Arabidopsis thaliana: one gene and its partners. The protein of the gene in region 1 purifies or fractionates together with the protein of each later gene. This does not show direct contact. Each region holds a gene or a part of one and is shown on either strand. Other genes may lie near its edges. The genes, in order: AT2G05720, MCM3, GYRA and EIF2 ALPHA.

The links.
Region 2: the proteins of AT2G05720 (region 1) and MCM3 fractionate together in Arabidopsis thaliana (co-fractionation; one large-scale study listed by BioGRID). This does not show direct contact.
Region 3: the proteins of AT2G05720 (region 1) and GYRA fractionate together in Arabidopsis thaliana (co-fractionation; one large-scale study listed by BioGRID). This does not show direct contact.
Region 4: the proteins of AT2G05720 (region 1) and EIF2 ALPHA fractionate together in Arabidopsis thaliana (co-fractionation; one large-scale study listed by BioGRID). This does not show direct contact.

The regions. Positions count from the first base shown.
Region 1 is NC_003071.7:2,144,264-2,149,619, reverse strand, and holds AT2G05720 (Transducin/WD40 repeat-like superfamily protein), read right to left. Parts: upstream 2,429-5,356; coding exon 1,993-2,428; intron 1,800-1,992; coding exon 1,405-1,799; downstream 1-1,404. Other genes in the region: ACO3 (aconitase 3), read right to left, coding at 3,270-3,338, 3,417-3,659, 3,742-3,840, 3,928-4,407, 4,487-4,585, 4,697-4,818, 4,931-5,049, 5,142-5,209 and 1 more.
Region 2 is NC_003076.8:18,768,172-18,776,532, forward strand, and holds MCM3 (Minichromosome maintenance (MCM2/3/5) family protein), read right to left. Parts: upstream 5,533-8,361; 5' UTR 5,436-5,532; coding exon 5,373-5,435; intron 5,278-5,372; coding exon 5,177-5,277; intron 4,989-5,176; coding exon 4,780-4,988; intron 4,681-4,779; coding exon 4,550-4,680; intron 4,458-4,549; coding exon 4,219-4,457; intron 4,145-4,218; coding exon 3,908-4,144; intron 3,807-3,907; coding exon 3,652-3,806; intron 3,539-3,651; coding exon 3,330-3,538; intron 3,246-3,329; coding exon 3,086-3,245; intron 3,000-3,085; coding exon 2,803-2,999; coding exon of another isoform or gene 2,791-2,802; exon of another isoform or gene 2,720-2,790; coding exon 2,660-2,719; exon of another isoform or gene 2,573-2,659; coding exon 2,483-2,572; coding exon of another isoform or gene 2,471-2,482; exon of another isoform or gene 2,391-2,470; coding exon 2,188-2,390; coding exon of another isoform or gene 2,184-2,187; exon of another isoform or gene 2,098-2,183; coding exon 1,878-2,097; intron 1,788-1,877; coding exon 1,731-1,787; 3' UTR 1,478-1,730; downstream 1-1,477. Other genes in the region: AT5G46270 (Disease resistance protein (TIR-NBS-LRR class) family), read right to left, coding at 1-126, 213-691, 908-919; KASI (3-ketoacyl-acyl carrier protein synthase I), read right to left, coding at 6,268-6,335, 6,418-6,484, 6,556-6,705, 6,805-6,918, 7,028-7,201, 7,471-7,902, 7,994-8,361.
Region 3 is NC_003074.8:3,339,683-3,349,643, forward strand, and holds the start of GYRA (DNA GYRASE A), read right to left. Parts: upstream 6,679-9,961; 5' UTR 6,562-6,678; coding exon 6,137-6,561; intron 6,043-6,136; coding exon 5,973-6,042; intron 5,875-5,972; coding exon 5,809-5,874; intron 5,695-5,808; coding exon 5,593-5,694; intron 5,405-5,592; coding exon 5,360-5,404; intron 5,284-5,359; coding exon 5,185-5,283; intron 5,046-5,184; coding exon 4,959-5,045; intron 4,826-4,958; coding exon 4,755-4,825; intron 4,267-4,754; coding exon 4,158-4,266; intron 4,053-4,157; coding exon 3,990-4,052; intron 3,841-3,989; coding exon 3,775-3,840; intron 3,680-3,774; coding exon 3,591-3,679; intron 3,390-3,590; coding exon 3,341-3,389; intron 3,188-3,340; coding exon 3,101-3,187; intron 3,000-3,100; coding exon 2,906-2,999; intron 2,521-2,905; coding exon 2,450-2,520; intron 2,365-2,449; coding exon 2,275-2,364; intron 1,885-2,274; coding exon 1,759-1,884; intron 1,673-1,758; coding exon 1,515-1,672; intron 1,417-1,514; and 15 more. Other genes in the region: GalAK (galacturonic acid kinase), read right to left, coding at 7,107-7,354, 7,489-7,578, 7,687-7,756, 7,851-7,879, 7,972-8,012, 8,175-8,326, 8,687-8,786, 8,912-8,991 and 2 more. UniProt on the Arabidopsis thaliana protein: A type II topoisomerase that negatively supercoils closed circular double-stranded DNA in an ATP-dependent manner.
Region 4 is NC_003076.8:1,616,629-1,622,840, reverse strand, and holds EIF2 ALPHA (eukaryotic translation initiation factor 2 alpha subunit), read right to left. Parts: upstream 2,384-6,212; 5' UTR 2,263-2,383; coding exon 1,879-2,262; intron 1,767-1,878; coding exon 1,710-1,766; intron 1,614-1,709; coding exon 1,527-1,613; intron 1,443-1,526; coding exon 1,296-1,442; intron 1,196-1,295; coding exon 1,091-1,195; intron 984-1,090; coding exon 885-983; intron 783-884; coding exon 627-782; 3' UTR 504-626; downstream 1-503. Other genes in the region: AT5G05480 (Peptide-N4-(N-acetyl-beta-glucosaminyl)asparagine amidase A protein), read left to right, coding at 1-503; ENGase85A (Glycosyl hydrolase family 85), read right to left, coding at 4,070-4,798, 4,893-5,028, 5,135-5,190, 5,318-5,398, 5,496-5,577, 5,656-5,768, 5,870-5,977, 6,069-6,180.

The DNA of each region.
Region 1 (5,356 bases):
GAGCTATAAGTGTAATATAATAAACAAATATAAATTGCTACAACACAATATAATACAACATTAAAACTGAGCTGCAAAAATAATAATCATATAACATAATTTACGCTATGATATATTTACATAACATAGCATAGCAAAAAAAAGCTATTGTATGTGACCGACCTAAGATAGTTCCAGCAAACACAGCGTTTATGAATTCGCTATATAAACAATATTATAGTGTTTTCCGTGTGCTAAGAGTGCCCATATTTCTTGTAGTGAAACAGATGAGAGAAGGTGAATGCAAAGCTTGAAAAAACAAAAATGCAAATTTATTTCAAGAGTTCTGATCTGATTTGATTCATTAATAACCATATCATCCATGACATTGTGAACAATTGTTTGTTTCAACATGTTCATATCGTCCATGTACTAGTCTACTAGATTCGAACAAATGGATGACTTAAAGAACCACCAGCTTAAAAACACACAAATAAAAGTAAGTTTGGATAACTGTATATGCTTTGTGAAAACCATATATATCGTCGGCCAATTGAAAATCATCAAGACTTGTTGCAGGCTTGGGAAACCATCACAACCAGCAACACCATAATAGATTTAAGGTTCTCTAAACACTTTCAGTTCATCTACTTAGTTTCGGCCATAAATACTTGTCCATTAACACTTGTCCATAAACACTTATCCACTTAGATGGTCAAAGGATATTGCTTAGATCAAGTTCACTAAACATACTTAATAACACTGAATAGTCAACATACTTGCCATCATCCATATATACAATCTTTGATGGACATCTTACTTGTCATGTTCTTCTCTTTTATTTGAATCAGATCAGATCAGAACGCTTGAATTAATACATCTGCATTTTTGTTTTTTCAAGCTTTGCATTCACTTTCTTTCACATGTTTGGATGATCAGTAGTTATAAATATCGGTATAGTATATTTGTGCAAGTACCTTTTAAAATCCATTTAATAGTAAACAAATGTTCGATCGGAAATGGATAAACTGTCATATAATTATTTACTTAAAATATAGTAACAATGGATCTTAAAATGTAGGAAAAATGAATTCTTGATTTATTATATAAGAAAACAGACAAAACACTTTATATTAAGTAACTAAAATAATAATAAGAGAGAGAATGAGAGAGAGAAAAAAAAAAAGAGGACCGTTATTTTTGAAAGATAAAAGTGTATGGTATGTAGTTGGGGGCGTTTCGGTAATAACACAGGAAAAAAATTGTTTTGGAAGATGAAAGTGTGGGAGTGTAAAATGAAAGATGAAAAAGTATGTGAGAGTGTAAAATGTAAATAACTCAAAAACAAACTAGAGTTCTATGTCCATTGTTTCTCTCCCATTATCTTCATCATTCCCACAGCATGTCCAAAGCTTTATGGTGCGGTCATGCGAAACACTTGCGAGACGAGCTATCTACAGCGATATCAAGAGATGCGACTTTTGACTCATGTCCTACTAAGCTTTTAACAAGCGAGAAATCTCTACCTGACCATATATTAACGTTCATGTCGTGTGAGGCAGTAGCCAGGAAATAGCGTTCTTGTGGTTCGTACTTTACTTGAGAAACGAGGTTCACATGAGCTGGTATAATATACAACAACTTTCTCATCCGTAGATCCCAAATACGGCATTGATTATCTTCACCACCAGATGCCAAATGATAACCATTAGGAGAGAAATCCACCGAGAGAACCTGTTTGATATGTCCTTGGAAGATAAGAATATTCCTAGCCGTACGAAGATCCCAAACTCTTGCAAGCGAATCAAAACCCGAAGAAGCTACTAATGATCCATCTTGTTGAAATGCAATTCCGTAGACACTACGACTATGACCTTCTTGTGTTAAAGCATCTCAACTCCTATGTTTATATCCCACAATCTCCATGTTTTATCAAAACTCGTTGTCCGGAGGCATCTCAACACTACGACTATGACGGGTGGAATGCAATGCGTGCAAGACGATCTGAATGACCTTTAAAAGTTTGTAGAAGTGTTCCATCCGTTTTCCATATCTTTTCAGTTCGATCAGTAGAAGCAGTTGCTAGACATTCATCATCCACAGACGAGAACACTACATCAGTTACATGTTCTTTATGACCTTTCAAGACAACAATCTTGTTTGTAACTTGAGGCACCTCCCACAATTTAGGAACCCCACTAAGAGAACATGTGACGAGTATTTTTCCATCTCGTGATAAGGAGCAACCAGTAAGAGGACGATCATCCCCAAATTTACTAGAACCAAGAACCATGTCTTTACAATGCTTTAAAGCCAATTTAGTCTCAGCATTTTTATCTTCATCTGGATCATTCCTTCGCCGATTTTCACGCTGAATCCTTAGAGCAGCTCTCTTTATAAAATCTTTGGTAATTTCTATTCTAGCCTCTCTAAGCTCTGTTGGACCCATTGGTATAAACAAACTTTTGAAACAAGATCTAGAAGAAGCTCGTGACAAGACTAGTTCACTTAGAAGACAAGAAGGTTTGGCTTACCAAAGCTCTTATTTATAGCAAAGTAAACGAGATGGATCAGAAAGAAAGAAAGGAAATCTATTAAAAAAGTGGGTTATTGGGGTTAGCTTTGAATTGTGATTTGTCTCTTAAGTCTAAATTCGATAGGAAGCAGTATTTTTATCCAGATCTTCTTCAAGGTTATCAGATTTGGATATTCCTCTTGAGTTTGGTGGTGGACATAGGAGATTTTGGTATTACTAGGGTTCATATGGAAGAAGATGCTGGCAAGTTACTTCATTCAGACACAGGAGATTACTCTCAGGTTCATATGGAATTTATGACAAGTTTCAGTTTGGTTTTATCAGATTCTTGTATTGGTTTTAGGCTTCAGCTGCAAGATGTTTGTGTTTCTTATGTATTAGTTGGTTACTCTAATGGTGCAAGTAGATTTGAATAGAGCAGGTGTTCTTGAACATGATCTGAGAATTGGTATAGATGCTGCTGAATACGCTTGTGAAATGCAACAGATTGCGAGGTCTTTGGGAGTCAGTAATGGGAATATGCAAGAAGGCTCTCTTATTCCTTTTCAAAAACAATAATATTCAACTCTTGCAAGTTGCGAAACATGGGAGCCTAAGCGTGTAAGAATAACCCACTGAAACTCATATATTGCATGAGATCACTCACCTTTTAACCTAATCCTAGACAGACTTATCTGCCTTTTAAAAAAGACATTTTAAAACAGAAACAAACACTCTTTTATTTTGCTCCATAACTTGTGTATTGCTTCCTTCACTATTGCTTGCTCAAGTTTCTGATAACATATGGAAGTATGCCTCCATGGTTAAAGTATGCCAATTCCACCTGCACATTTATTTTACCATTATTAGTTCCTTCACATTGAAAAGCTTTTTTTCACTAAAGATTGGAGTATTTAGTTACCTCTGTGTCGAAGCGGACTGTGCAAGTGAAAGATTTTCCGTTGTCGGTAGTGACGGTAACATCTTGGCCAGGTCTTATCTCTGAGATATCGGTTGGGAGATGGATCGTGTAGCGTTCGTGACCAGTCAATCCAAGAGTATCTGCGTCTTCACCGGACTTAAAGCACAATGGGATGATTCCCATTCCCACCAAGTTGCTTCGGTGAATCCTCTCAAAACTCTTTGCAATCACCGCTTTAACACCCTGACAATCCCAAACTTGTTGTTTCAGAATAAAACAGTAAGATTGGTTTATGCGGAAAGAAACTAGAGAAGCGGTTCTAAACCTGTAGCATGGGTCCCTTGGCAGCCCAATCACGTGAGCTACCACTTCCATACTCAGCTCCAGCCAGAATAATTGTGTCTTCACCAGATGACTTGTACCTCTGATACATTTGACATTATGATAAGGAGACATTCGACATGATCAACATACAGTCAGTAATACAAATTTTAATTAGATAAATACAAACCATGGCAGCGTCAAAGACTGAGAGCTTCTCTCCAGATGGAATGTGAACAGTCTTAGGGCCAACTTCACCATTCATGAGCTTGTTAACGATACGGATATTAGCAAAAGTACCTCTGGCCATTATTTCATCATTCCCACGGCGACTTCCATATGAGTTGAAGTCCTTACGGTCAACGCCACGCTCCATGAGAAACTTTGCAGCAGGACTGTCCTTTTGGATGTTTCCAGCTGGTGAGATGTGATCAGTGGTGATACTGTCCCCAAAATTGAGTAAACAGTAAGCATCCTTCACATTGTGTGGACCAGGAGGATCCATGGTCATGTCCTTGAAGTATGGAGGCTCGTGAATGTAAGTTGAGTTGGGATCCCATGAGTAGAGGGTATTCTCAGGAACAGACAGCTTATTCCACATGGGGTTACCCTTGGTGATTGACTCGTACGTTGCTCGGAACATGTCAGGCAAAACACTGGATTGAACAACCTGATCCATATGTCAAAAGATTAGTTTAATATTTGTGTATAAAAAAGATGTTATTGTTCTCTGGTTAAGTCGTATATACCTCAGCAATTTCTTCCGTGGTTGGCCAGATATCTCTTAAGAAGACGTCCTTGCCATTCTTTCCTTTGCCAATAGGCTCCGTTTCAAAGTCAATGTTAACCTGGAAAATAAGAAAGAAGAACGCCAAAATTACCAATGTGATAATCAGTCATGTGTCATTATCTCATACAAAATGTAAGTTGAACTTTGACAAGTTCTCAAGATTTATTACCGTGCCAGCAAGAGCATAGGCAACCACCAACGGAGGAGATGCAAGGTAATTGGCTCTTGTTAGTGGATGAACACGCCCCTCAAAGTTCCTGTTACCGGATAGCACAGCAGCCGCCACAATGTCTAAAACCAAGCAACACAAATATTGAAAACAAATCAGCTACTTACTTATATATAATAGTAATATAAAGGATGGAAAGTCCAAAGTAAGTTTAGTTGGGAATCTCAATAATACCATTTTCGGTAATAGCAGCTCCCACTGATTCATTAATTTCCCCAGAATTCCCGATGCATGTAGTGCACCCGTAGCCGACAATATTGAAACCCTGTTCATTCAGATATTCTTGCAATCCACTGCATGGAGTAAGATGTTACACTTAAATTTACCATCACATAAGAAAGAATTAGCCTTTAACAACGAAGAACTAGATAAAAATACGACATACCTCTTTAATAAGTATTTTGTAACAACTCCTGAGCCTGGAGCAAGACTTGTCTTTATCCAAGGCTTAACCTACAGAGGCAAGTTTTTGAAAAAGGGATCAGAAAATGTCGAGGCATCAGATAGATTTCTAGTTTGCTCTCGTGAAACCAACCTGTAGCCCAAGGTCACAAGCCTTCTTTGCAACAAGACCAGCACCAAGCATGACGCTGGGATTTG
Region 2 (8,361 bases), on another chromosome or scaffold:
AATACACTCATATTTGCAATATGATCTTCGATGCCAACAAAATTTTCAAAGTCCTTGGGTGTAGTTAAAAGCAGTTTAGCCAAAACATCATTGGCTATTTCTTCAATCATTTTTGCTTCGTCATCCCTAATAAGGTTAAGGACAATTTTAAAGAATATGACATAATTTTATCTCAAGATGTATCTAATAATGAGTTAGTATAAAAACCATACCATGTCGCAGAATCAAATCCAAGCATATTAGCTACATCAGTCAACGCTTTCTTCCATTGGTTTTTCACTTGCTCTGTTTGTCTCTTGCAAGTCTTTTCAAAGATCTTTCCAAAGTCACCGATTTGATGCCTCACTTGGGAAGGATCCACTCCGTAGAAAACTGGTATGACAATTTTATCATTGCAATTCACAATCTCCAGCAACTCGTTAAGACACCAGCTCGATGAAGCGTAGTTTTTGGAGAAAATGACCACTGCGATTCTGGAATCCTTGATGGCTTGTTCAAGATCGGGCCAGAGAGAGTGGCTTCTCTCGATCTCATTGTCTCTGAATGCAGTGATCAGTTTCCGATCAAGCTCTTTGAGAAAGTGGCTACGGAATGTTACGCGGACGTCTCCCCCTCTGAAGCTCAAGAAAACATCATATAACCAGTTTCGAGAAGAAGATGAAGAAGCCATAGAGAGAATGAGAGGAGGAAACTATGAACAAAGACTTTGGAGATTAAGATTGTAATCGTACGTCTTGGTGATTTAATTATATAAAAATATTAAACACGGCCACAAAAGTCTTCACTAATCAGTTTCACTATTGTTTCAGACACAACTTGACGGATATTTCCAATTTGATGTCTTAATCATCTTTTGTACAAGGTCATAAGCAAATGTTTCATAGCCTCTAATGTCTTATCCCCTTACATTACTACACATACGTCTCACTTTATGATTACTTTAAGAATTTAGAATTCTTAGAGTGGAGACAAGTTTCTCTTGCTCATGGCCTTAACATTTCTGAGAAGCTCTGGTCTGAATCAGAGACATGTATGGCCTAACTACGTAAGTTTATTTAGTAACTCAATTGTTTTGACTAGGGTTGATAGAGAAACGTGTGCAGTAACCTACCAAAATAGATTTTGTTATTTGGCAACAAAAAAAAAAATAGATTTTGTTGTATTACTCTGTATACCAAAACTGATTTCAATCCGTCTTTGTGGAATTTAACCTGATTATATGTACAATTTTAGAAACGTATAGGATCCATCATGGACAAAGCAAACATGTTTTGGAAAAAAAAAAAAAAAGTAATAGAGACCAAATGGAAAAACATGGATCTTTTAGACGAGAGAGTTCCAAGGTAGTGATTATTAGGGTTTTGAAGTTGGCTTATATATGGCACAACTCTATTCTTACCATTGGGTTAAAACAACATATACACTATAATCTTGATGTCGATTACATATGTATAAAATTTGGCATAAACAGCTCAAGAAATTATAGGATAAATATGAAAGTATTTTATTCTCGGATTGTGCTTTTCGTTATAAATTCCAAATTTTATAATCAGATGCGTTTTTTTAAGCATTTTATCATCAGTTTTACTTCACTAGTAAATGCAAAAAACATAACGTATGAATAAAGATTTTACAAAATGATATTTTGGTTTCCAAGAGTTTACTACTACACTATTTTTGAGTTCTAATATGATGATGATGATGCAATCAATATTGATTTCTTCATATGATCAAATGATATGAACTTTGCCATCGCTGATCATCACTTTGTTATCATCTTGCAGTTTCTGCATAAAATCCACAATAGAGTAAAGTTATGAAGATATTGTATAAAAAGTTAAAGAATGAGAAAGCTTGTCTCTTAATTTGTGAATTACCTCTAAGAGAGCCATAATCTCATCTGCAGAGTAACGAGATGCTCCAACCCCATTGTTGTTGACAACAGTCTCTATATCTGCAATAGAGATGTCATCGAGCCTGTGTGTCCTCATGTGCTGCCCAAACACTCGCTCAAAGGTTTCAATCCTTGCTGCAGAGACCGTGCCGCTGAATTGCTCTACAGAAGGTTCATCTACTTCCATTGGATCTGCTGTTTCACTGAATGGACCAGCAAAAGAGAAAGAAAAAAGTATAAGGGTTGAGAAAGCTGTGATATAGGTTTCCATGGAGGAGATCAAATTAGTTTACCTGTCGACATTTGCAGTGTCATTCTCTGCTCCATCTTCATTATTCCTGCGTTGGTTGCCTCTACGTCCACTTGGTGTTCTTTCTTGTTCAGCTTGTTCCCTTTGACGTTCTTCTTGCTCACGATCATCCATCTCAGTTAATTCTTGATGATATATTGCAAAGTTCATAAGCTTCAAGGCAGCCTCTGCATCAGCTTTAGTAACCTTTCAAAATAAAGTTATCACTTTAGAAAGAATCTGAATAGAACATATTCACGACCAGGTGGGGAAACAGAAGATTTGAGTTAGATTGTTACCTCGCTACTCAACTTCATTTTGGCATGTGCCGTAGCAAGACGAATTATTGTCTCTAGAGTTCTGGCTGTTATCGGAAGCGTACCTCCAGTCTGCAGAGATTTCGATGGTTGTGTCAAATACAAGTTCCCAAGACGAAAAAGATACAGTGTCCAATGTTATTTTATGAAATAAATTACCTTAGTATCGGAACCTGCATTTCTGAGATCTGCATATGCTTCTGCAATACGTTCCGATGCCTGCAAATTTAATAACAAAAGAGATTTAGTGGAAGAGATTATCAGATACATAAAAATTTATATATTTGAGTTCACTGTCTCACTTCATCAGTGAGCTTTGGTGTAATACGGTGCTTGGCGTAATGAATGTACTTCTTCAAGAACTTAATCGTAAGGGTTTTATCATGTGTTTGGCCTCTTTTCTTCTTCCCATGTAGTGTTTGGTTATACTTAACAAACATTTCACTCTCAGCATTGTCTTCTCTCGCGTAAGGCAAGCTCCCATCTGGCCCTGCCTCACCTATGGTTCACTCAAAAGTCAGATGCGTTTCAAGACATGGGTTGTGAAATGTTTAGTAAAACATAGAAGCATGATTTGTTTCCTACCTCTATCGTTCTTGTAACGATGCATGCGCAAGACATGTTCTGAAATCATGCTGTCGATACCAGCATCCATTTGATCCAACACAATAAACAGTAGATCAAAACGAGAAAGCAGCGAATCTGGAAGTCCAATGTTCTTTGTTGGAGTCAGTGATCTGTCATACTGCAGGAGCAAGAGTAGGTATTAGGACAAAAAAATACTAGTCAGTAGAGTAAGTAGATTAGGAAAACTTCGGTGAGAACTTACAGTTCCGTATATGGGATTTGCAGCTGCAACCACACTGCATCTAGCATTCAGTGATGCATGGATACCGGCTTTTGCAATTGTTACAGTCTGTTGCTCCATCACTTCGTGTATAGCAACTCGGTCCTGATCATTCATCTTATCAAACTCGTCAATGCACACGATACCTTTATCAGCGAGGACCATTGCACCAGCTTCTAGTCTTCGTTCCCCTGATGAAAATGAGAATTTGATTTTAATGAGAAATAGCACTTTTGACCTTCCTTCAAATTTTGATTTTAGCATTTGATAAAAAAATGTGGAAACGCTTTTGTGTGCTTTTTACCTGTTTCTTGGTCAGAAGTCACAGCAGCAGTTAACCCAACACCGGAAGAACCACGGCCTGTGGTTGATATAGCCAAAGGTGCAATATTCATTATCGCTCTCAGAAGTTGAGATTTGGCAACAGATGGATCACCAACCATCATCATGTTGATGTCTCTGAAAGCACAAGATTTGTTTTCAAGTGAAGAAAGAAAAATGAGTTAGACAAAAAGTATCCAATGAGTCGAATCTGAAATCTGTTTTCAAGCAAGACTTACCCCCTCAAGTGGGTTCCGTTCTTCAGGTTCTTTTCAACACCACCAAGCATCAGTAAAACTACTGCTTTCTTTATCCAAGCGTGCCCATAAATAGAAGGTGCTAAGGAACGAGCAAGGAGATCAAATGCATCATCTCTTCGTGCAATATTTTTAATGTTATCTAGGTCTTGCTTAGTGTATATAGGTGCATTTGCTTCTTTATTGAGCAGAGCGATATTATTGGCTATGAGGATAGTCCTACACAGAAAGAACTCGGTCAAGACTATCAGAGTGAAAACATCTTGAACTAACAGATGTGTAAGAAAACGCACCTAAAGACTCCATTTACACTACCCTTGCTTTTTCCAGGAAGAGCTTTGTAAATACCGAAAACAGATACTCGATCTCCTGGCTTGCATGAGTCAACAAGGTCATCCTCAGCAATGACATCAACGCTTCGTGGAAGCTGACCAGGAGCAGCATTTTCAGGCACTTCTTGAATTGACAAGGTCTGGTGATCTTTGTATTTGCACAGCCCATACTCAGTCACCAATAAGTTTCCCTTATCATCCTGAACAAAAAAAAACTCAATCTTCAGTAAGAGGCAAATCTTCCAGCAGTACAGGTAAATGAACAAAACGAAAACAAAAAACATGTAATTACCCTTGTGGGATAGACAGAGCCAGTGGGTAAACCAGCGTGAGATGTTATGTCTCGATAATCTCGATTGGTAAATTCACCGGTTGATGGACAAAAGTGAACGCTTTTAACAACCTTTGGCCTCACAAGAGAGCCTGAAAGCAAAGCATGTGTCAGAGGTTCAAAATCTTCTACGTAAAACACAAAGGAAACAGAAGAAAAGCAGAGGAATAGAGTGAAAATGATGAGCTTACATTTGGTGACAATGCCCTCAACACAGACCATAGATCCAATAAAATCAGAGAGAAGCTCTCTAGGAGTAACAACGCGAGAAACAAAATAACCTTCAAAACCAACAAGGACAAGCTCTCCTTCCTTCAAGTATTTAGGGTCAATAGCACGAGTAGCTTCAGTGGCTGCGTCACAAAATGACTGCATATACTCATTTGGATTCTTCAGTATCCTATCCAAAAAAACCAAAGCAATCAACTTTAAGGTCACAAAACATATGACAATTGTAGTGAATCCTTAAAAATCCCCAAATTAACCTCACTGAATCTAACAAAACCCTAAAATCTGCCGTAAATTCATAACCTTATACTAAAGAACCGATTAAAAATTCGAGGAAGACAAATTGAGAAGATGACGAACCTAGAGGCAACTTCCCTGAAGTGGTGGTGAATGTCAGAGATATTAATAATGAGACGGTGACGCTTTTGATGTACCAAAGCCTTGATTTCCTCCATATACATCTACACAATCCGTAAAAAAAATCCAATTTTTCAAATTAGATAAGAACAGAAGCTCGAGAAATGTCTGGTGAGAAAAGTGATAGAAATCGACTTACACTATCGAGGAACTGGATAAAATCTCGCTTGTGGCGAAGCCTCGTCTCCTCTGGCACATCCATTTCTTAACAAAATCTGGGTTCTTCGTAAGAACTTTTCTTCTTCTACTTAAAAAAAAAAAACTGATTAGAGATTTTCGATTTCCGATTTCGAGAGGCATAAAGGGCGGATCTTCTCCTTATGGCGGGATTTCGTGAGATAACCTGTACCCTTTTTGGCGGGAAGGGTCATTTTGGGCCGATATTAGTTGGGCCTTTCGTCTACGTGCTTTTTGATTAACCAAATTTGGGCCGGTACAATTTTGGACTTACGTCTACGCGCTTGTTTGGCGCGTTTGATTTCCTCAAGGCGGTATAATACACCCAGATTCTAAACCAAAAACCAGACATACCAAATCAATTCATTGTAAATTCGGTTTAACTTTTGCTACTGCCTTCAAGCCAGTAAACCGAAAAATGTATATATGAAAACCAAAATAAACCTGTGTGATTTGAGAACATTTTCGGATGTATCACAACATATGTATAACTGAAAAAAAATTCAGTATAAATCTAATTTCTTCGAATGTAAAAACACGACAAGAATTGTTGAGAAATAAAAGATGAGAATCCCCTAATTGGATTATTCTGACAATAACACCGTTACTACAAGATTCTCTCAGTTTCTGTTTTTATAAATTACGCAAATATGGAACGAACTAAGATACACAACATTCCGCAGACAAGAGAGAGAACAAACAAAATCTGAAATCTCAGCAACCGTAAGAAACGGGGAATGAAAGAACCGCAAAAGGCCAGAGGAAGAGCTCCAACTTGTGAACCAAGAAGCTGCAAGTGGTGGTGATGGATGATGATAGTAACCGATAGGGCAGAGAATCTAAAAGGTATGAAGAAATCAGGGTTTGAAGGCAGAGAAGGCGACTACCGAGTTGTGTCCACCGAACCCGAACGAGTTTGATATGGCTGCAGCAAAACAGAAAGACATTAATCAGTGAAACTGTTGCCAGTTTAATCCAATGAGAAGGCGGTCATGTTTGTCACTTACCAACATCAACCTCGTGTTGCTTCTTCTCGTTTGGGACCGTGTCAAAGTCCACAGCTTGTTCTGGGTTCTACAATGAGAAAACAAAGAGTGTGAGAGTCTAATACAATGACCAAGTTCAAATCTTGCAACAGTTCAAACTGAAAGCGGAATCAAAGAAGCCTTTTCTTGACTTCCTGTTATACGTACAAATTGGTTGATGGAAGGATGCAGCCATCCAGTGTTGATAGCCTTCACGGTGGCGATGGCTTCTAGACCTCCAGCTGCACCGAGGCAGTGACCTATCATAGACTGTAACAGAAACTGTCATTCACAGGAAATGCAAAGCAAACAAATACATTGAAATAGAGGAGAAGAAGAACACTCAATCATAGAGCATTGGGGACGAACCTTGGTGGCGTTGATTTTGATCCCTGAAGTGCTCTTGAATACCTTTTTAATGGCATTAATCTCAGCAAGATCACCAGCAAGAGTGGAAGTTGCATGTGCATTGATGTAATTTACCTGAAAAACGTGGAATGAATATAAGTAGGGAAGTAACACGAATCTAATGAAGAAATTTGTTTCAGATAGCCTTAAAACTTAGGAAGCATGAAAAGTTTGTGTTTTTTACCTCCTCAGGTGATACACCAGCATCTTCCAGGCATCTTTCAATGCATGAAGAAACCCCAAGACCATCAGCTCTTGGATCAGTCATATGGTGAGCATCACAATTAACAGCACCTCCAAGATATTCTGCTACAATTGGAGCACCACGTTTCATTGCATGTTCCAAGCTTTCCATCACCTATTAGGGCATACAACAATTAGTGGGTCTCTCCAAAACAAAATGTCACATGTATGAGCCAATCTCATGGTGAGATAAACCAACTTTGAAAATGTAGTACAATTCAAGTGCAAGGAAACTTCCAGAGCTAATAGACTAGGGAACACAAGTTTCATCAGATTCTATAAACTAAGACCAAAACAGGCTCTTATATACAATTCAAAACAGAGCAAGCCAAATGTATGTAGATTCATAGTATCAATGAGAGATTAAGAATTTGTGAAACATACCAGAACACCAGCTCCTTCACCCATAACAAACCCATCTCTTGCTTTATCCCACGGCCTGGAAGCAGTTTGAGGGTCATCATTTCTCTGGGACAATGCCCTACAAGCAACAAAACCTCCCAACCCAATAGGAATAATAGCAGCCTCAGTCCCACCAGCAATCATCATATCAGCTTCACCACGACGAATGTGATTCGCAGCAGCGTAAAAGCAGTAATTCGAAGTAGCACAAGCAGTTGAAATCGAATAGTTAGGACCCATAAGACCAAGATCAATCGCCAACAAAGCAGAACCCATATTTGTTATAGCATAAGGTATAAAAAATGGACTAATCCTCCTATGACCCTTCTCAATCAAATTCTGAACACCTTCTGAAAACACAGTTAAACCTCCCATTCCAGTCCCAACTAGTACTCCAGCTTTCCTCTTATCAATCTGCAACAAACCCAATAACCAAAAATCAAAACTTTGACTCCTAAACTCTTCAAAATCAAAACTTTATGATCAATTTCAATTCAAATGTTACCGTGTTAAGCTTATCACCACCAAGATTGGCACTTTCAAGAGCTTTTTTACCAGCAACAATGCAATATTTCAAACAATCATCAAGCCTACGCTCATTCTTGCCATCAATATAACCTTCAGAGCTAAACCCACGGATCTGACCACCGAATCGAGTAGGGAACTTGGAAGCATCGAAACGATCAATCAAACTGATTCCACTCTCACCAGACAACAATTTCTCGTAGTAAGCATCAACATCGTTACCAAACACAGAGACGAGACCCATACCAGTAATGACAACTCGTTTCTTCGGATCTGTTTCGCGTTTAGGAGCGGAGACAGTGGATGCTGATGCGGAGATGAAGGAACGTTGTTGTCTTCGCAAAGGTC
Region 3 (9,961 bases), on another chromosome or scaffold:
TCAGAGATGCAGATTGGATTTTGCCGGCATGATCTAGCCGCATAAGAATCACTCCCCTGAGAAATTAACAATCAAATGAGAAACCATATAAAATATACATTTGAAAAGACTGTCACATGAAGGGAGTACCGTGCTCTGCGAGATTGGATTGAGATATCCCTGACTTTGATCCGGTTCACAGTTCCGCTTTGGCTCACCAGAACTACTTGCTCATCACTCTCCCCATCCTCTGCAAGAAAACCCAATGGTGAGATTATATATAAACAGCAATCAAAGAACATTTAAATCCGTATTTGTGGCAGTGTATACTTACCAGCCAAGGAGTAACCAACAACGAAAACAGCAGCCAAACGATCATCCTCAGCAAACTGACAAATTGAGATTTAGATGTAAGGGAAAAATCAACACAAACACAACCAAAAATGGTGAAAATCCAGATCCTACCTTGTATCCAGATAAACCAACTCTGTTCAGACGCGAACGCCGGAAGCTACTCAGAGGAACACGCTTTCCATAGCCATTCTCACACACGAATAATAGCCATGGACCCGTGGATTGTTTCCTGCTTTTGTGATTGTGTTAACAAAAGAAGACAGTAAGACATAAGTAAGTTTCTAGAGCAAACATCAGCAGATATAAGTTAAGAAAAACATACACAAGTGAAGCATCTTCCGACTTCTCTTCCATATCTTTCCGCAGAGATGCAGGTATGATGTCCATGCTCGCTATCTTATCCTCATTCTTGAGTCTCATGGCAGTCACTCCCTTTGTATTTCTGCTCAGTGTGCGAACCTAAACAAACAAAAGCCATCAGAGTTTGCTCAAGTATTAAAAGGTTTACATGAAAGATGAATCATTTAGAAAAAATGAGAGCCACAACTTACACCATCACATGTACTCAAGGCGACCATTCCATTTTGGGATGCCATGGCTACAAGATCGTCGCTTGAGCAACAACGAACCCATTTCAGTTCATCACCAGAATTCTGAAGACAAATAATTTTGTTAGAGTAACCTTGTTAAGAAGACTTCCTATATGACTAAGAAGAAAAAGGGGACAAACCAACTGAATTGCTATGATTCCAGTTGAGCGTATTCCTGAAAATAATTTCAAAGATACTTTCTTGATGCAGCCATTCACTGTAAGCATCAGGAGGTAGCGATCTTCAGCAAACTCGCTAACAGGAACAATGGAGGTTACTCTTTCACCTTCCGACATGGATAATATCTGCTTCCACAAGTCACATGAACACAGCAAAACATTAGCCTTTCATAAAATTGAATAATTTTTGACATAGCAGAAGGAAAACATAGATACACAGATATGTAATTACCTGAACCAAAGGTGTACCAGCTGCATTGCGAGAGCATTCTGGAATTTTATATGCACGGGTTGAGTAAACTATACCCCGGTCACTGAATGTACAACAAGTATAAGCAATGAATTACAACAAGGCAGAAAATTAATATCCATGTGCGTAGCAAACACAAAGGAAATTTTGAGGTATACATACCTGAAAAAGAGGACATGGTCATGTGCATGACAAACAAGAAAGTCAGACATTGCATCATCAACTCTTAGTTTCCCAACAGATTTGCCAATTGTTCCACGATGCTGAAGATTGAATGTATCGGCCTTCATTCTCTTCACATAGCCCTTTTCGCTGACTGCCTATAGTCATCCATATCAAAAGTTACAAAACAAACAACAAAAATTTCAACGTTGAGAAACTTTCTAGGTTTAAGTATGCAACATACCATCAGCATCTCTTCATTTGGAATAACATCTATATCTTCTAGATCACCACTGTCAGAATCCTCCAACATTGAACGCCTGGGACTTGAGAATCTGTCCTTCAGCTCTATTGCTTCTTGTTCGATTAACTAAAGAAAAATACAAGAAAAACAACGAAGAGAATAAAGTAGTAAGTAATATACAATGAAGTAAACGAAGCAAATAGTTCAATTTTGGTCTACAAGAAAATCATCATGTATCAGTTATCTTCCTAACATTGGCCCAGAACAGCAACATATAGTAAGCAGCTTTACAGATATAAAAATAAGTACCAAACAAGAAATGGAAGAAGCATTTGAATCCTTATACCACATCATAATGCATGGACTAGATTTTGAACCTCAGTGGACTCAAACAGTCAAGCTTACAAATTTGGAGTACATATATTGATGCATCTATCATTCTACTAGCATCTAGGTGTTCTAAATTTCTAATATCAATAGCCAAAAGAACAGATAACTAAAAAGTGAGTGTGTCACCTTTAGGATGTTTGTTCGGGTTGATAATAGCTGCTCCAACTTTGTAATTTGCTCTGTTAGTGAACTACTTTCATCAGTAAACTTTTTCCGCTGCATTTATGAAGGGAGAATCTAGTTAGAACATTGTCAAGCCTACAAGTTTCATAAATTGAACTTAGCGAGAATAAGAAAGCACCTCAAGAGCAGTTAGCCTTCGAAGAGTTATCTCCAGTATAGCCTCAGCTTGTTTCTCAGAAAGACCATATTCTACATAAGTAAATGTTTGACAAGTGTTAATTTTAATATATGGTATCGTCCCTTACAATAGAGACTTACAAAGCATAAATCCCTAAGAAATCTTTGCAATTAAGATCAAATCTTACAACGAATGAGACTCCAGCAGTTCCAGATAAAAAGACAAGAAATATATAATGTTCAAATGTAATATGGAAGAGTTCACCACAAGATGTATTCTTTTAATAGTGTACATCCTAGACTACATCTATCAGTCCACCTAAGAAAAATTGGCTCTAGTCTACTTTTTGACTCCTAATTCTCGCTCACTTTTCCGAATTCTGTTTATACATCAACCTATAATGTGCAGTTCAAGATTGTTACATTGATTATATTGTCAAAGTAAAATATAGCTCACCACTTTGTAAAGCAGCAGTAGCAGAGGAATGACTTGAGGCCTTCGTGATGAGTTCGATTACTTCGTCCACATTGTCAAGCCCAACCACAATACCCTAAGCATATATACAGTGAAGATATTAGAAAAAATGCTTTACATCATTACATCATGGTCTTCACGAGCAGATTTAAGAAAGTTAAATATTTCTAGTCGCACCTCAATAATATGCTTTCGTTGTTGTGCATGTGAAAGCTTGAATCTTGCACGCCTTTCGACGACAGAACACCTGAAATCTATAAATGCCTACACACAAGCAAGAAACAGAAAGTAATCAACAAATTTACTTTAAAATGTGATTACAGTAGCACAGAAGTAAATATCCTATCTCTGATCTTCACTTTTCTATTACTCCTTGTGGGCTACGTAGATAAATGATTTACATAGACAAGTGGTCACCTGAAGTAGTTCTTTTAATCCCATTAGCTTGGGTTCTCCATCGCAGATACTGTAAAACACAGAATACCATAATCCAGTTACGATAAAGAAAAACGCATATGTGAATACATGATCCTTAATATATTTACAAGCATAACATACTCATTAGAGAATTTTCAACTAGTCATCCTGGAAAATGCCCAAGTTCTTTTATATGCCCACTCTTCAAAAAAGTACAGGAAATAAGAAGTTATCGGTTGATGCAACTCACCCCACCATGTTGCAGCTGAAGCTTGATTGAAGGGCAGTATGCCGGTAAAGATTATTAAGCACAAGTGCAGGATCCCCTCCTCTTTTGAGCTATAGAGAAGTATTGGAAATTATCTTAATTACCTTCCAATATGAAATTTTAAAGCAGACTAATACATCTAAGTGCAGAGGAAACAGTGTAATACCTCAATAACCACACGCATCCCATTACGATCACTCTCGTCACGTATGTCACTTATGCCCTCTAGCGTCTGAAAACAAACACCAACATCAATGAATAAAGAAGAAACTTTGCAAGCATATAAGGACATACTAGAAATGTAACACACCTCTGAGTAAAATAAGTACATATTGCTAAGTGAAGCAAAATAAACATTAGATGTCGCAAGTTTAGTTGTACCTTATTTTCAACAAGTTCGGCAATCTTCTGGACAAGTGTAGCTTTGTTTGTCTGGTAAGGAATCTGCAATAAAGTCACACTAAAGGCATTACTCTACTGCTAATAAACATTTTTGAAACCCTCATCCATGGAGATCTGAACATTAATCTAAAAAACTAAATTGATCACCTCTGTGATAATAACTGCATTCCGCTTTGTCTTTGGATCCAACAATTCAACTTCAGCTTTTCCTCTAACTACAACTCGCCCTCGGCCAGTTCGGTAAGCATCCAAAACCCTTGAAAGCGCAAACACACATTAGAAAATTATAAGAATCCAACATTGTAAAAGGAAATGGCATATGAATGCAAACTATTTTTTTAATAAAGGTATTCAACAAACTCGAGAGTAAATGTACTACACAACATATAAGCTTTCAGAATATTAAAAAATCACTCACACCATCAGAAAAAAACATGATGATTCAAAAACTGCATATGACAGACAAATAAAGGAAAACTATTAACTGGACCATCCTCTTCACTCATTTTCTAGGTTCCTTTTAAGATATAGGTACAGCTTCTGTAATCTGTTAGAATCATAGATCAAAACAAAACAAAATGCTTTTCTATTTCCATAAAAAAAAAGTTTCACACTTTAGAAGTGAGTCTTTCTATTTGATCCTATAGATAGCCTACTCTCAAAAAATTAGCAAACGAGGTGGGCAAACAAAAGTCATTAATGTATAAGATCCCTTTGGGGAGAAATTGGAAAGCAAAGAGTTACCCAAGGTTTCCCATTATTATTCCTCCAGTTGGAAAATCCGGTGCAGGCATGTATTCCAGCAGTTCTTGCAGCTGCCCAGACGAAGAAGAAAGTGGAAACAAAATCTTATGAGTTGTCTACTTATAAAACAGAGGATTTTTCATGTAAAACAAAAGACCCACAAATTGATAAATCACAGAAAAACAAAGGGGAGATGAGTGATACCGTTGCTTCTGGATTATGGATTAAAGCGCAAAGCACGTCTACCAACTCCCCAAGATTATGAGGGGGAATATTTGTTGCCATGCCAACCTAAACAATGTGAAATGATCAAGATTCAACTGCATATTCAATCTCATACAGCAGGGAAAATCTGCACAAGATTAACTGAAGAAATCTCGAACAAAATCTATTAAGGAGTTCAGATTTAAGATTTGTTTGATTATTTTACCGCAATCCCAGAAGCTCCATTCAACAACAAAGCAGGAAGACGAGCAGGCAACACTGCTGGTTCTTTTTGTGAGTTATCAAAATTGGCCACAAAATCCACCTGCCAAAACAAAAGAGGTTAAGGACCATCTAGTTGAGTATCGGTAAACTTGGCAACAAATTAATAGTGAGGTTACCGTATCTTGATCCAGATCAGACAATAGTACTGCCTCTGCCAGTGGCTGCAGAAAAAAAATAAGTACAATCAGCTGAAAACACTGACAAAAATACATGTTCATCTCAAGACAAGAGAAAAAGTAGAGATGAGAGATACACTATAGATAGCAAAGACAAGTGAAACAACTAGAAAAAGTGAATTGCAGGGAAAACCATTTCAACTAGAAGGGAAAGTAAGGTAAAAGGCACTCACATCGAGTCTGCATTCAGTGTAACGCATAGCAGCAGGAGGATCTGCATCTATTGAGCCAAAATTTCCATGGCCTTGGATAAGTGGACATCTCAAGGAGAAACTCTGCCAAAAAAACAAAGGTATTAAAACAAAAAAGTCAGAAGTTTGGGAAGAATCGAATCGTGCCTGAAACATTATTTGAGGACTGGACTACATTCCATGAATTCAGATATTTACCTGAGCCATCCTAACAAGAGAATCATAAACAGCAGTATCTCCATGCGGATGGAATTTACCAAGAACCTGAAAACCCAAAGAATTCAACAGCACAAATCGTTCTTCAGAATAAGATATTTAGAGAAATCGACTGAGAAAACACTTTCCAAAAATCAATAATATACCTCTCCAACAACTCTTGCACATTTCTTGTATGGTTTTTTAGATGACATCCCCAACTCATGCATTGCAAAGCTGGAAGACAAAATAATCGAACATTAGAAGGAACAATACCACTGACTAAGCTTAAAAATATCAGTAGCTTTGAGCCGAACGAAAGTCACTCAACAGAATTCTCCGATGTACTGGTTTTAGTCCGTCTCTAACATCAGGCAAAGCACGTCCAAGCAAAACAGAGAGCGCATACGACATATACGACTCAGTAGCTTCCTTATGTAGCTCAAAAGGCACAATACGAGATTCGTCCCCAGAAACAACCAAACCGCCATTGTTAGCTCCGGACTCTTCCTTGACCTGCTCATCTCCGCGCTTACCAGCACCGACAACGAATTTGCCGGACCGAGGAGTACGGGAGGAGAAGAAACGCGTGGCGGAGGGTTCAGTGCGGCGGAGACGGCATAATGGGTCGGTGAGGGGGAATCGGAAGAAGGAGCGGCGAAGAAGGGAGGAAGAGAGACGGAGAGTGGAGGAGAGAGACATGAGAGAGTTAGGGTTAGGGATTGAAGCAGTGGAATGGCATAATACTGGAGTCATGCCCAGAGGGTTTTAGGGATTTTTACAAGTACAAATGGATTAAAGTGCTAAAACCCTAGAGAGCCACACCGGAGAATTTCTCAGGCGCGAATTTCAATACTTTGGCGGGGGTCTTTGTGTCCAAACAAAAAACTAATCTGTATCTCTATTTGAGATATACACTATTTTATACAAACAAGATTATAATAACTAACTTTCGATTTCAATTTCTAATTTCATACTTGTATAGTGTCTTTGTTAGATCAATTACAGAACTAAATTCACCAATTGTTGAAAATTTAACAAATTTATGGAGAAATGTTAGTCACATTTTTGAAGTTTGCGATTCTTCTATCGACTCGAAAACGGTAGAGAATGATTTACATTATGTATTTGTAGCAAAAAAAATGTATCAAGCAATGATGAAACTCCGACCAAAGAGACCAGAGAATTTCTCAGACAGGATCAAAAAGAGATAAACAAGCAAAGAATCAATAAGCGTGAGAGATATAAGGGACAAAAAAATCGAGTTTAAGTGGGGAAGAAACCAAAAACTCCAGGATTGATCAGAGAAGAACACGAGCAGCGTCACCTGCTTCACAGATGAGAACAGGTTTTCCTCCATTTAGATTGTTAGCAAACTCGGGTTGGGCCTTTTCATATTCATCCTTCACATATGAAGCAGCTGCCTCAGCTTTTTCTGCATCTACAAAGGCTAGACAACATCCCCTGAAACCTGCACCGCTGAATCTAGCTCCATATACACCAGGAGCCTTCAGAAGAATCTTGTATAGCTGGATCAGTGGCTCCGCACCTTCACAAAACTCACAGAATTTAAAACCAAAATAATGAATCTAAGAGAGAATAATGTCTGTAAGCATACTAGTGGTCTGTATTCACTATAGGATATGTTGCATTTGGGAGAGAAGAAAAGAGAGTGTAATGTACCGCATTCGTAATTCTCAATGGAACTCAAGCCGGATGCTGAAATTAGCTTTCCAAATTCTTCAAGATTCCCTGAAGCCCAGGCTTCCCGTCCTGAAATTTAAGAACAAACATTCATAAAAGTCCGTTAAGCATCATAAAGAGCTTAATGAATCATTCATGCACATAAAGAGACATCTACAAGAATTCAAGAACATTTGCCTTTGATAACTCGCATGTTCTCCGAGAAATAATGCTCTGCTCTTTTAGCTAAAACCGGTTTCAGCTCATGCTGCACGAACAAGTATTATTGTATTACATATTTACATAGGCCTGATATAGGTGGAACCTGTTTTACCAAAAGCTTAAGAATCTTATTTTCTTACCTTGTGAGCTTCATAGACCGCATGCTCAACTATTCAGTGGGACAGTTAGAGACATGGCAACAAAGAAAAACTAATCAGCATGCAACGAATAAGTTAAAGTCCACACTTAAAGTTTTTTTACCATTGCACAACGTAGGTTCCAGCTCACTGTTCCCAGATGCACTGAAAAGAAAAAGTAAATCAAGAGAAGGGTGTGAATCTTGTGATGCAGAAAAATGAGTATCACAAGCAATAGAGAAATAAACTTTGCAGCATTTCCACTGAAATTTAAATCTAAATAAGCGAAAATGTAGATAAATATGAATCAAACAGATTTGCACATACGTCAAAAGAACTTTTGCTGCCTCTTGACACTCAGAAACTCGCAGATTATATCCTGGGTTGGTGGTCAACGCCTGCCTCAAGCCTGAGAATGCTAACAATATCCTGAACGGTTTCTCCAGTTCAGGAGCCTGTACAAGCTCGTGGTCCAAAGTCTGCATATTTCAAACAGTTTTTCTGAGATGGCAGTTTCTGGAAGAAAATAAAGTTTCCCTATCTATGGCTGGTTAGGAAGGATTTCTTCAAGGCCTCCTGATTCTAACCATTCATTTTCATTTTAGGAAGAAGTGAACTCAGCATTGAAATACATTAAAATCGAAGCAATTGAAAAGATTAAACACTTATTTTCTCGTGAAAGCAATGAGAATGTTGTAGATCTGATTTGATCGTGAGTCATTTTCAGTTTAGAGATCAAAAACATCTTAGGCATCCCATTGAACAGTCTTGGTTTTGCCACATGAACAAGCTTCTTGCTTTTTTGCACACTATATCACTTACAAATCAAGGAATTTTACCTTGCAGTCCATGTATGTTAGACACCCATAATTCGAAAGCAAAATAGCTGATTGATCCAAAATTCCATTCCGCAGACCCAGATACCCATTCTCAATAAGCCTGCAGACGCAGTAAGTCACATATAAATTGACCAATTTGCAGCACTAATTGCTGGTTTCACAGAGAAACAACTGCTCATGAAGCAATACAGAAGAGCTTCTTGGTTACATTAGAAGGGAATATACCTGTCATATTCGATATTTTCTGTTGGGGATACAGTCAATTCGTTTGCATTCTCTAGAGCTAGCAGGTATGCCACACCAACCTGTCACATTTCTGGCGATCATAAAATAATATACAAGATTCATTTTCCAAAAATGACAAGTAAACACCACTCTCATATGCTAAAAATGTTTAGTTACTATTAAAGAGCAGTAAAAATTGTCTTTCCGGAGAAATTTCTGCTGTACAAAAACAGGCGGGATTCAGTTACTTACAGCAGCTGATGAGCTAAGCCCGGAGCTATCTAGTCCATTTGAGCCACTGAGGTAACCAATAATGCCCTTCAAAGATCAAAACAATTACTTAGAAACATATTCAAATACCTTTTCCATTAAATACAATTATGTCAACTATTATGGGGAAATCAAGGCCTAAAAGATCAGGTATGGCAACCAAATAAGGGTAAATGTGGAACCCCAGAAGATCACACAGCAAATGTGCAGGCTAAACCTCATTTCCCATTAATGGTAAACTTTATCTATAGCTATAACCAGAAGACCAAATTTGAACCTGTTACCTGTTTGAGATTCTTTTTGCTGCTCTGTAACGCATAAACTGCTCCTCTGGCATAAGTACCCCAGATACTTTTTTCCTTCGATGGAGATGGCGTGCTTGCACCATTCTTGTTTGCTAGGCCTATTGGGTGCTGGATTTCATCTACTCTATAATTTCAGAACCCGAAAAGCTATTAGCATTATGCATAGAAGATCTTCAATTCCTTTACCACCATGACGAGTACAAAATTGAAATGCACTAAGGAAAACAAAAATACCTTTAGAAAAGGTAAAATAGAATGCATGAAACAGAAACTAGAAAATCATGCAAGCTCATCCAAAACGGATACTTTTGTATCCCTTACAGCGCTAAGGGTCTTCAATTTCCAATGAATTCTAGGGAATTATGAGCAAACTTAAAGGTTGAATCTGATAAATGTCTAAGACTTAAGTGAAAGATAAGTTCATTTTCATACTAAAATGAGATATAATGGAATGCTGGCCAGATCGAAATACTTC
Region 4 (6,212 bases), on another chromosome or scaffold:
ACAGCTTGGTGAGGTTCGAGAAAAACGGAACATACAAGAGGGTTGAGCAGAGAGTGAAGACCGAACGGATCGTGGAGGTGACTTCTGAATCGGGTAAACCGGTGAATCGAGTCGTGCACCAGCGGACATATCCTCTTACAGTGATCACTTCTACTCTTAGAGGGTTAACCAACGACAAGGATACGTATATGCTCGTGACGAATGTTTCACACGCCTTGAATGAGACACATTCAGATGGAGAGGCTTTGATCCAAGTTTATAGCAGACAAGACTCAGAGGGTTGGATGGAGGTTGAAGATCACAATGTCTTGGCTGGTGAAGCGAGCACAAAACAGAGTCTTAGCTATATCGATGAATTCAGCTGTTATTCCCGCACCATCGTTGCGGCTAATGGGGAGATTGCCCAGGACAGTTCATCTGATTCTTGTACTTCGTCTTCATTCTCAGAGCTCAACACTATTGAGCAGCTTATCATAACCAATGTTATGAAACACTTGTCGTGAATAAGAGATGCTTGTACTACTAACCATGTTTGGGGTCAAACAAAAAATACTGTTTTTGCTCAAAGGGAAACAAAATTGTAGGATCTAAAGCAGAAACAGCAGTTACAATGCTTTTGCTTTTGTTCATTCAATTATCCCGCTACCTCCATCGATATCGACTTCTCCCATTCCAGTGTCTTCTTCTTCATCTTCGCTTCCCTCATCACCACTCATTTCTTCATTATCCATTCTAAGCTTAGCCATGTGCTCAGCAAGCAATTTGTCATCACGCTCACTCACCTAAAAATGTTGTAGCACATTAAAGTCACGGAACCGAAGAAAAGGAGTGACTGAAGTAGCAAATTCAGTCAACTAGTCATAGAAAAAGGCTACAAGACTTACCGCACGAGCACCTTCTTTAACGACAAGTTTACCCTTGTGTTCCTCAATTGCAGTAATGCATGCTTCAATTGCTTTATTCAGAGTCACTATTCCTTTTTCCTACTCAGTCAGAACAAGAAAGTGTCAATGTTACTATGTAATCCTCAATGTATCTCAAAACGGTTTCCGCTTATAAATAGGAGCACACCCAACAACCATAAACATACCTTGTAATGGGTGTGAGTTGTGAGTACATAAAGTGGTGGAGCAACGAGCTTGATTTTGACTGGACAATCATCAGTACCTACAGCCTCTGCCTTCTTCATGGCTTCCTGTAAATTCATAATAATAGCCAAACATCTTTAGCTAGAAGTAGAAAACAAACAGAGAAAACAAAAAAAAAAAACAGATAAGAAAAAGGAAAAGACTGACCTTGATGTGGAGAACTCCATCAAACTGAAAACACTTCAATTCAATATCAGCACGAATCTTCATTGGCTGTGGTGTCATTCTCCTCCTAATGTCCTTCAAAAATGCATCTTTCAATTCTTCAGACACAGCCGGGACAACTTTGGTCACCTGTACAGAAGATATGTTATAAGTCTTCATGATCAAATTAAAACAATGATAGAGAAGGCTGCTCAAGGCAAAGAGTGTTGTTACCTCCACACCATCAGGTCCAGTTTCTTTAACTTCTCGGGTAAGAGCATCGAAAACTGAATCAGGATCAGTGACAACAATTTTGAAAGCCTGAAACACACAGTCCAAGGTACACACCATCACAACATAGTTCGTACAAACGACAATGGGCCAACTATTACATAATAAAATCTTTGGAACTATTACCTCAAAAGCATGTCCATGCTTCTTATACAATGGCCAACCGATGTTTACGTATAGCTCCTACAAAAAAGAAGGTTTTTCCTCAGAAATTGGACCTTGTTTCAGTTCAAGAACATTGACCTACATTCAAACAAATTCGAGAAGAGTCAGAGAATCGTATGAATGAATATACCTCCAAATCGACACCAACAGTCTCAGCAACATGACGCATGATAGAGTGAACAAGCTTGCTCTTATTATACCTCTCCTCACAAGCCTCTTTGTCCTCATCACTAACCCTACGTTTACTGAGATCAATGTAACCTCTCTCTCTATCGACACGAAGGACCATAACAGGCTCGGTACGACCGACCTTGATTAAGCTACTGATACTACGAATCCGACGGCGAGAGAGCTCGGAGAACAGGATCATTCCTTCGATGTTGTTGTATTCAAGGAGAGATACGTAAGCTCCCATGTCAGCGATGGTCTTCACCTGAATCATCACCGCCATGTCTACATCAGGGTATCTCGATTCGTACATACGACATTCTAGATTCGGAGCAGGATTCGCCATGGTTATGAGATTCTTGAGAAAAGATTTCGGAAGCTACGAATTACAGAGAAAGTAAGATTGAGTTTCTTAGTAGAGAGCGTCGAGGATTGAGATTTAGGGTTTTCAAAATTGGTACGATTCTGTCGTTAAAAATAGTCGACGTCGTATAATCTTCAATCTCGCCGAGTCGCTCACATTCTCACGGCCCATTCTAGTACGACACCGTTTTTGTAGTTGGCTTGCTAACGATACCGTTTAATCTACAAAATAAAAGTACTGAAATTACTAAAAAGGTTATGAAACTAATTGATTCAAATAAAGAGATTAAAATGTTGAGATTAGCTTAACTTAATGAGCTGTGTATTTTTGGTAATATGTCGTAAATTAATTTACAACTTCAACCTCTTAATAATCGAAATATTCTTAGTTTACCCCATTATTTTAACTTGGGAAAAGTTCATCGAGAAGTATTTCGAATCGTGACCACTCACTCATAGTCATTTCTCTCCTTTCTTCGACCTCACACCAAAGAACATAAAAGAAGGAAATTGTAAGTTAGAACTAAAAGGCGAACACGAAGATTCATGCTTTCAGATGAGTCTAATCTTTATGAACCTTAATTATTACAAATCTTGCTTGTTCTTATCGAATCTACAGTTCTTTTTTTGGTTTTTTTTTTTGTCCATGTCTGTTTTGACTTTGTTGCCAAGGAATTTACTAAAACTAGTAAGTCTAAGCTCGTTCAGTCGTTTGCAATGTTTTAATTGAATCAATGGTTTGTTCTTCTTCCTCTATTGGATGTCATGGAAGTAAAAATCTTCAGGAATCTTCTTTGCCTTGATTCTGAGATTTTTGGAATTTAAAAGTTTAATCCTTTCCTACACTTCTTGTAATGATCAAAGATTACTGTGATTTTGTAAATTTTTCTATCGGTTCATAGTTTGTGATTTTGAGTTAAGTTGTTAAGAAATCATGCAAACTGCCAGAAATTTTTGTCCAGAATTGCAAATTGAAATTGATTTCGGTTTGGTTTACTTTGGTTTTGAAATTAAAAATGATTTTGGTCCGGTTAGCAATTGGTTTTGAGAAAAAAACAAAAAAAGTCACGCGATAGAGAATTTGGAGAGAAATGCGTCGATACAAAAAGGCATGAATTGGAAAGGGGTTTACCCACAGAATCGCTCTCACTCGCTCAACGCGCTCTTTCTGCGAGTGGGTACGAAATAGAGCCTTCTGATTGGTTTAGAAACGCAAAAAAAAAATGAAATAGTAGACATGTTGCTAGCTATGTTATTATTTACTTTTCCTCTCCTTAGGCAAAAACTAGATTCACGCTTTCAGATTTCAACTGGTGAGTGCTAAAATATGTATAAACCTTAATCATTGTTAATCGTCTTTGTTATCATCGAATCTATAGTTCTGGTATGAATTTTTTGGTTGTCCTGCTCTGTTTTTACTTTGTTGCCCAGAACTTTTACTAAAACTAGAAAGCTAAGCTCGTTTGTTATGTTTCATTTGGAGCAGTAAATTGTTCTTCTTCCTCCATTGGATGTGTATTTTTGTTTGTTCTTTATGTTCATTGTGTTGACTTGTCGGTTTTAGTGGAATGAACAAGTTGAGAGTGAAACTGAGACTAGTCGTCGTCCTTTGAATCTTTCAGATAAGGACCAACATATACCACAAGGCAAAGAATCTGTGCATGAAAAGGTTTGTTATTATTATCAACCTTATAATCATTAATTCATTATCGTATGGTTCATATCCTTGAACTGACTAAACAAACCATCAATGGTCTTATTAGATCGCAGGTTCGGAAATGAACCATAATTCAAATCAACCCACAACAACAAAGCTTTGAACTCACACGCTCTACTTCAACCACAAGGTTAGGGGAAGCATCCAACTCCTGCCATGAACCATCTTCACCACAGGTTTGAACCACGAACCGGACTCCCTTCACATCTGATCCAACGACCATTTCAGAGACATAATAAGCATCAACATGAGCTGTTCCAAGAAACACTTTCTCGCTTCTTGGTTCTTCCATAACCTTCCTTGGTCTATACTCACTCGAACTCAGATTCTCTGCATATACATTGTACTTTGGAAAGACAGAATCTTCTTCAGGGTGCTTCAATCTCCATTCTAGCTTACAACTTAAGGTCTTGGAGCCAGAATCACCCGGTACAAACTTTACGTGATGAGCCTCTATAACCCATGATGACGCCAGAGGATAAACCTTGGCTTTTTGCTGGCTCTTGATGGAGATATGTCCAAGCAATGCAAAATACTCTAGTGTGTTTGTTTCTTCTGTGAGATCATCTGGTCTGGAGCAGAAGGCAGATATCTCAGTCAGTGTGTGCCCATCTAAAACAAGGTTTGTTTCGTGTACTGTCCAACCGGATGTGGTCTGTTTTGATGTGAGAAGACATGGCAGGAACATGTCGCCAAATCTGTTGATAGATTCATTTGGCACCATAAGCATGGACTTTTTCTCTTGTGAAGGAGATGAAAAATGGAGCAGAATGCTTAGCTCGGATCTTTTATCTGACTTCACCTGCACCAGTCCAAAGACTTACATGATGAGTAAAACTTAAAGATTGAAACTTTGTAAAGATGAGGAGGAGCTCAAATCTTATGCGTTAACTTACAGAAAAGAAGATTGAGATTGGGGCAGCAGAGAGCTGAAGCTGAGGTTTGAATAGTCTTGCTGTGAAATGTGCATTTCTCTTTAGTTTTCCTCTGAAACTGACGTTCCCTCCTCCATTATAAGATGCTTCTCGACCACTAGCATATATGTGTGCTTAATTGTTAGATGCCAAAACAATTTCTTCTTAAGCTTCTTGAAAATCAAATATGAGGCTAGTATTAGGGATTTAGGGTCAGAACTCACTCAACAGTGACCTGAATGGTCTCTGAATTCCTTCCTTCATTGAATTCTAGGAATGGCTGTCACAAAGAACACAGCAGAAGAAATTATCAAATTGGTATATAGATAAGTCCAGATTAAAAATGTGACAAAAAAGGAAATGAGCTCTAGTGCAATAAAAGCTAGAACAAGGAGTGACCATTGAACCTGTAGACTTTGGCATGAGATGTTGTACCAGGGAGCTTCTGATAATTTCCGACCTCCAAGAGAGGTATGAGAACCAAGGCCCTATATAATAAACAAGTGGAGAGTTTCAAAACTCAGTAGAACATAGAATAGCCATGCTCATTTGCATCTATTCATTGGGAACAAAGTTTGACTTCACCTGATTAAAATCTGAGTAGAAAGGTAGGACTTGAGGATATGTTTGAACTATACCCCATGACTTCTCAACAAGTGACCACCATCTAAAGAAAGATAACATATGATGAATAAGATTGCAAAGATTAATTTTACCATCACATTTGGCCATTTGCAAGTATTACTTGTTTTGTGCCGTGTAAAAATCCGGGGGTTGCTCGGTTTCGTATACCCATCCAGGAGCAAATATCGCAGCTGATACATTACTGCTCTTCAGCAAATCAAGAGCAACATTTGCCTACAATACAAAAGAATTGAACAAACGTATAAAAACTTTATATGCAGCTTGAACATTGCAGACTACTGGTTGAATGAATTTGTTAGAATAAAGATACATACAGTCCATTGCCCACCACCGTAAGTTCCCCGACCAAACACATCTATTCCCATGTAGACATCATATTTTCTATCACCGGCAATTTCAGCTGATGCTTTGGGGTAGTTCTCCTGAAAGAGATACCTACTCAGTACTCATATCACAATCAAAACATATAAGATGAATGAAGATGAAGTGATTGATTGAAGTGAAAGGCCAAACCTTCCATGTATAGTTCATGAATATACCATCGCATATATCAAAGAAAGGTTTATTATTCTCGGTTAACTGATCTTGCCAAGCAAGATGACCATCAATAGTGACACTATCATACCTACAAAAAAAAAGTAATAGAAAAGATCAGTA